Linked DNA regions of Macaca fascicularis. The protein of the gene in region 1 purifies or fractionates together with the protein of each later gene. This does not show direct contact. Links are inferred from orthologs where the notes say so. Each region holds a gene or a part of one and is shown on either strand. Other genes may lie near its edges. The genes, in order: RNF19A and SOD1.

The links.
Region 2: the proteins of RNF19A (region 1) and SOD1 purify together in Homo sapiens (affinity purification with western blotting, with the first as the bait; 3 studies listed by BioGRID). This does not show direct contact. The link is inferred for Macaca fascicularis from reciprocal best matches to the Homo sapiens genes RNF19A and SOD1.

What each region holds. Positions count from the first base shown.
Region 1 is NC_088382.1:109,875,675-109,878,589, reverse strand, and holds the end of RNF19A (E3 ubiquitin-protein ligase RNF19A), read left to right. Parts: intron 1-204; coding exon 205-895; 3' UTR 896-2,380; downstream 2,381-2,915. UniProt on the Homo sapiens protein: E3 ubiquitin-protein ligase which accepts ubiquitin from E2 ubiquitin-conjugating enzymes UBE2L3 and UBE2L6 in the form of a thioester and then directly transfers the ubiquitin to targeted substrates, such as SNCAIP or CASR.
Region 2 is NC_088377.1:15,217,614-15,221,904, reverse strand, and holds the start of SOD1 (superoxide dismutase [Cu-Zn]), read left to right. Parts: upstream 1-1,432; 5' UTR 1,433-1,509; coding exon 1,510-1,581; intron 1,582-4,291. UniProt on the Homo sapiens protein: Destroys radicals which are normally produced within the cells and which are toxic to biological systems.

The DNA.
Region 1 (2,915 bases):
TGTATTTACTACTATTTTTAAAAATTGAAGCATTAGAAAGAGTTCTCTTATATCGAGTACATTCTTTAAGTAGACATGTCCTGTGTTAAGATGTTCTCATAGCTTATGTATAGTCTGAATTTTCCACACAGAAACCCTGCCCCCAGTCATCTGAACAAAAAGAAGTCAGCAATTATGTTTGTATTTGTTACTCTTATATTTCAGAGAAGGCAACAGTATGGAGGTGCAAGTAGATATTGAGTCAAAGCCATCCAAATTCAGGCACAACAGTGGAAGCAGTAGTGTGGATGATGGCAGTGCCACCCGGAGTCATGCTGGTGGTTCATCCAGTGGCTTGCCTGAAGGTAAATCTAGTGCCACCAAGTGGTCCAAAGAAGCAACAGCAGGGAAAAAATCAAAAAGTGGTAAATTGAGGAAAAAGGGTAACATGAAGATAAATGAGACAAGAGAGGACATGGATGCACAGTTGTTAGAACAACAAAGCACGAACTCAAGTGAATTTGAGGCTCCATCCCTCAGTGACAGTATGCCTTCTGTAGCAGATTCCCACTCTAGTCATTTTTCTGAATTTAGTTGTTCTGACCTAGAAAGCATGAAAACTTCTTGTAGTCATGGTTCCAGTGATTATCACACCCGCTTTGCTACTGTTAACATTCTTCCTGAGGTAGAAAATGACCGTCTGGAAAATTCCCCACATCAGTGTAGCATTTCTGTGGTTACCCAAACTGCTTCCTGTTCAGAAGTTCCACAGTTGAATCATATTGCTGAAGAACATAGTAAAAATGGAATAAAATCTAATGTTGATTTATATTTTGGTGATACACTAAAAGAAACAAATAACAACCACTCACATCAGACAATGGAATTAAAAGTTGCAATTCAGACTGAAATTTAGGCCCATAAATGCTGCAAAATAATTACCACTGTACAACCGTGTTTGGAGCTGGTTGAACTACATGTGACTTCTTAAGTTTCAGGTTACAGCAAAAGCCAGGTTTCATTATCATAATGCAGATACATTTTCTGTGTTCAGCAAGGCATTGTGTGTCATGTGGATCTTAGTTACCAAACTATGAAATGAAGGCTTTAAAAGTGCATTATTTTAAGGATAATAAATTTGAAGAGCAAAGCACGTTTTGTGTGTTTGCCACAAAACATTGCTTGAAGCACATACTTAGATAGAAATTGATCTTAATTTATAATCAATATAAAATACTAATGCAATTCTACAGCATTCAAATGAAAACTTGAGGCTTTAGGGATAAGTGGTTAGTGATATTTTATTGAAACCACTAAGAGATAAGTTTAAAGGAACTGCATAGGTTACTCTCAGTATATGATACTCTTTGTAACATTTCTATTTATATCTGGGTATAAATTTCATTTTTTTTCTTCATATGCAATGTGGTTATATAAAGCTTAAAGCAGCTCATTTGCTACCATTTGGATACTTAGACACTTTGAGCAAGATTGTGGCAGTTTTTGCACAACTTTGAAATAGAAATACGTGGTACTCTATCTTGTATATTGTTGATGCCATCTTAGAGGAAAAATGTAAAGGTAAGTAATTAAGCATATGACAGCAACAAATAAGATATATAAAACTACAAAATAAAGTCCCATTAGGTTATAAGTATTACAAAAAAACCACCTTTCTCTAAGGGGAAATTTGTACCCCATTGATTCTTGGTGCCTTTGGGTTTGACTGGGTTTTAATGGCCTAGTTATTTGAGGATTTTGCTGTGTTGTTTTCCATGTCTTCTCTGGTCACCTTGGATTATATAGAAAAATACAGGAAATAGATAAACATGAATGTGATTAATAATAATGCTGAAAAAGTATTAGCCTACCAAAGACACACTCAGGCTTTAGTGAATAACTTTACATAACCTCAATTTTTAACACATGCGTATCTTCTCCAACCATGAAATCAAAGCACGGTGCAGAGCTTGTACCAAGTACAAAAGGTCCATGTATGATTAGCATTATTTTCTTTTGGTTTTGTTTATGGACAATGTTCAGCTGACATAAGCAGAAGTTGGCCAAAATACTGCCTGTACTGTTAATTTCCTGTATAATTCACTTAAATAAAAGCAGGTTAACCTCAATGATAGCAGTTAAAATGTTCTATCTTATGTATTTCTTTTAAGTATTACCATTATGGTGCTACTGAGCGTTTTCTTTTGGTAAAAAGAAAAATGCCATGGGCTGCAGTCTTCTTCCATCACTTTTCCCTACCAGGTCCATTAATATGCTTATAACACTAGTGCCAGTTATTTTATTTGATAATGCTTATGGTATTTGTATATTTGTTTGCATTCCAATTTTGTTTAATGAGTGTGTAAACTGCATACGTTAAATAAATGTAAATACTAATGTATTGCTGCCTTCTGGTGTGTGTACAAGTGTTTTATTATAAGAATGGGAATATTCATTGGCCCTGTGGTAGTGTTCATAAATATTGCAAGCCTTTGTGATTATTCTGCCTTTTGGTCTCAGCCCAAAGGAAAGCATTTGCTGAACTTTTCAACAGTGTTAGAAACTACCCTTTTTTCCTGTCTAATTCCTGCTTTTCCACCAGAAGAAAAGATGCCATATACATAAACATAATTTTTTTGAGTAAATTGGTTGAATTTAACTTGAGTAAATATATGTATCATTAAATTGTGAAGAGAAATCAGTATTATAAATCCTCATCTTTGAAAAATGGAAAGGTCAGCTAACTTGGGAAAAGGGGAAAAAAGTAAAAAGATCTTAAAAGACTGTTTTAAGAGATTCTATTCTAGCAACATTAGATTATGAAACTGGAGCCATTTAAATTCAAGCTAATTGTAATCAGATGCTTTCTATTCTTGTAGCCTCTGTAAAATGCGTAGATGGTTTTTCTGTTTCTCTGGTATATAGTTAATACTTGA
Region 2 (4,291 bases), on another chromosome or scaffold:
GGCCAGCATTTGCACTGTTTATGCAACCGTTTAGAATATACAAATTATCTGGAAACTACTACTAAATACAACACGCAAAACTGCAAATATGTATACTTCCTAGAGGATGATAAAAAAATGTGAATTGTGTTTTCTCTGATAGAGGATGCATTAGAGTCTGAGGGTCTAAATAACATAAATAATAAATAAGTAAATAAATAGATAGTAGTGTACTCCAAACGAGGCTGGAATAGCTTCTATCGTTGTTTCACGCTGGACTTGAATTAAGTCTGAGTATTTTGCCATGCTCAGTACGAAATACTAGGCTGGACGTGGTGGCTTATGTCTGTAATCCCAGCACTTTGAGAGGCCGAGGTGGGCAGACCGCTGGCTTGAGCTCAAGAGTTTGAAACCAGCCTGGGCAACATGGTAAAACCCCATCTCTACCCAAAATACAAAAATCAGCCAGGTGTGGTGCCACATGCCTGTGGTCTCAGGTACTTGGGAGGCTGAGGCAGCAGGATGACTTTTGAACCCAGGAGGTCGAGGCTGCAGTGAGCTATGATCGTGCCACTGCACTCCAGCCTGGGTGACAGAGCAATACCCTGTCTCAAAAATCAAATAAACAACCCCTTTGCCCCGGACAAAAGTAGTTTGTACTATTTTCTCATTTCATCAAAGTTTTTGAAATATTTCCCTTGAAAGGTAAGTCATATTTATCATTCCTGTTGTATGGAGACATCACAAATTATTTCACCATTCTACCCTCCTTGAGTGTTGTGGCCTTGGGGCCAGGCAAAAACGCAGGAGATGCCTAGAAGCCAACTAGTTGCCGTTTTGGTTATCTGTGGGGTTGTAGCGTTGCCAAACAGGAAAAATATAAAAAGAATACCGAATTCTGCCAACCAAATAAGAAACTATGTGCTAAGGACTAAAACAACTGCAGGGGAAGAAAAGGTGAGGCCAGGGATTGAGGTGTAGCGACTTTCTATGCCCTCAGAAAATTAAAAAACAAGACAAAAAAAAAAAGAAAACTACAAAAGCATCCATCTTGGGCCGTCCTAATTTCTGAGTAACAAATGAGATGCTGTGGCGAAAGTCAGTCATAACCAATGACATTTCTAGACAAAGTGACTTCAGATTTTCAAGGCGTACCTTGTTTACATCATTTTGCCAATTTCGCGTCCTGCAACCGTCGGGCCACGCCCCCGTGAAAAAAAGGCTGTGTTTTTTTCCATTTCGGGGTTCTGGACCTTTCCCGGCTGCGGGGCGGGGGGAAGTCTGAGGCGCACGCGGCCCCTTGGCCCCGCCCCCAGTCATTTCCTGCCACTCGCGTCCCGAGGCTGCCGCAGGGGGCGGGCTGAGCGCGTGCGCTGTGACTGGTTTGGGGCCAGAGTGGGCGGGGCGCGGAGGTCCGGCCTATAAAGTAGTCGCGGCGCCGTGATCCCGCTTTGCGGCATAGTCTCCTGCAGCGTTTGCGGTCAGTCTCGCAATATTCGGAAGCAGGACCGCGGCGTGGCCTAGCAAGTCATGGCGATGAAGGCCGTGTGCGTGTTGAAGGGCGACAGCCCAGTGCAGGGCACCATCAATTTCGAGCAGAAGGCAAGGGCCGGGGCGGAGGCTTGTTTGCGAGGCCGCTCCCGCCCGCTCGTCGCCCCGAGCACCTGTGCTAGGAGCGGGTGGCCAGCCAGGCCTCGGGACCGCCCTGGTCCCGCGCCCGGCCTCGGGCCGCGCCGCCCGGTCGGTGCCTTTGCCCCCAGCGGTGCGGTGCCGGCTAAGTGCTGAGTCATCGGGCGGGCCCGGGTGCGGGGTGTGCGACCGAGGCCGCCGCGGGGCTGGGCCTGCGCGTGGCGGGAGCGCGGGGAGGGATTGCCGCGGGGGCGGGCGTGGGCGTGCTGCCCTCCGGGGTCCGTGGGCGGCCGCCGCGGGCTCTGTCGTGGTGCTTGGAGCAGCTGTGCTCCTCCCTTGCTTGGCTGTGTTCTCGTTCCTGAGGGTCCCGCGGACACCGAGTGGCGCAGTGACAGGCCCGGCCCGGGGTGGCGACTGCGCCTGGGCCCGGCTGGTGTCTTAGCATCCCTCTCCGCGTTCCAGCTTCAGCGCTCTGGGTCAGGGAGTCTCCGCTTTTGTACAGCTCTAAGGCTAAGTATGGGTTTTATATTTTTAAAAGGCTTTGGTAAACAAAAATACGCAACAGAGACCGTTTGTGTGACACTTTGCAGGAGTTTGTTGGCCTCTGTTCTAGGTCATGGTTGGGCTGCAAGGGCAGAGAAGGTAGCCTTGGATAGAGGTCCTTTTCCTCCTCCTAAGCTCCGAGAGCCAGAGTTTTAACTGACCGTTTTGGGGACTTTCGAGGGCGATGATTCTTAACTTTGGGTGCACAGTTAGCTTATTTGAAGATCTTACTAAAAATACACCAGAGCCCAACCTCAGACCAATTACATCAAAACCTGTCCCAGCGCAGGTGATTATTGCTGTTTTTTAAGTTTCCAAATGTGATTTTGATGTGCACCTACGATTGAGGACTGTTGTTTGAGGACAGTGGGTGGGGTTTGGGATTTGGAAATTGGAAGACCTGAAGTTTCCATTACACGGAATTGGTACTTAGTAACTCTTGTCGGAGCATTTCTTAAGCCACATTTTCTGTGAAGTGGCTTTAAAATTGCTCTGCCAGTAGGCAGGTTGCTAAGATGGTCAGAGACAAACTTCTGAACGACTCTTGTAAAATGTACAGAAATATTTTCATAACTATTATCAGTAAAATTGCAAAACGTCTTGCAAGGAAGGTGCTTGTGATAACACTGTCCCCCAGAGCCTTAGTGAAGTTACCAACTGGTGGAAAATTGTCTCGTACTCGGCTTAAAAGTCATGAGAGAATATTTATCATATGAATGAGATTCAGTCTTTAAAGGTGTTTACAGAAAGGTGAGAGGACAGGAACAGTTAGTCTGTGCAAGTGTCTGAAATGTGTATGAGGGAGATACGAGTTTAGCTTTTTTCTTTAATACGTCTCCAGATTTTCTGGAAAAGGTTCTTTGGCATTTGACTCCATTTTGCTGTTTCATTTGTCAGACTTCGTTTTGTCCCTCTTTACTTATTCCCACATAATTCACTAGTACTAGTGTTGTGTTTTGTTTCTGAGACCGAGTCTTGCTCTCTTGCCCAGGCTGGAGTGCAGTGGCGCGATCTCGGCTCACTGCAACCTCCGCTTCCTGGGTTCAAGCAATTCTCCTGCCTCAGGCTCCCGGGTAGCTGGGATTACAGGCGCGTGCCACCACGCCCAGCTAATTTTTTGTATTTTAGTAGGGACCGGATTTCACCATGTTGGCCAGGATGGTCACGATCTCTTGACCTGGTGATCCACCCGCCTCGGCTTCCCAGAGTGGTGGGATTACAGGCGTGAGCCACCGCGCCCGGCCACCAGTACTAGTCTTAAGACGCCTCTGTGGAATTCCTTCTCCCTGGCCTTTGAGAATCCATGCATGAACCCAGGTTTCTGTCATTTTCCACCTTCCCTGAGCAGCGTGCATAGTTCCTTCTTTTAAGCGCCTGACTTCGTTTTGGTTGGTGCCCCTTGTACCTGAGAAAGAGCCTTGGATAGTGGAGCATTCCAGCTTTCCAGATATGCAGAGATAATAAATTGGCTATAAACTACCTGGCGTGGCCTATTCCGTGTTTAAAATCTTAGACTCGTGGCTAGTTTTTACAAATCAGAATCTTTCACCTAATAGTCCAGTTTTCCTAGCTTCTCTTGAAGAATTGTTGGAGATCTCTTCATACTGAGCCTTCATTAGCCCAGGACAGTACTGCTGGAGCTTTCCAGGCCTGTGTTACTCACTTGAGTTCACAGCCTGGTCCCTGTAGGGTTGTACCTAAGCACAGCTACTTACATGTTCCCAATGTATTACCCGTTAAATGGAGGTTTGAAAGAACCTCCTCTTTTTGGCCCTGTGCTCTTGATAACACAGCATATTTGAGGGACAACTTTCACATTTGAGTTTTTCCAAAATTAGAGGTTGTAGAAGAGTCACAGTGTCTATTCTGAAAAAGAAAAGAATTTTTAAAAGGCCGCAATTGCCAGAATCCTTCGTTTGAGCAGTGGTATTTTCCAGTGGAAAGTCATGTCTTAAGGGTTAATGCCCCTTAACTGTTGTCCCTATTTGAAAACCAAGCTAAAAACAAGAGACACAAACATGTATGACGGTGTGGTGTGGATGATGTGTTTATTTTAGTCCTGAGATCTACTCGTAACGTCCTTGATTTCTGTATGTAGCCACGGAGCACCATTACCTGTCACCATTGCCTGAATGGCGAT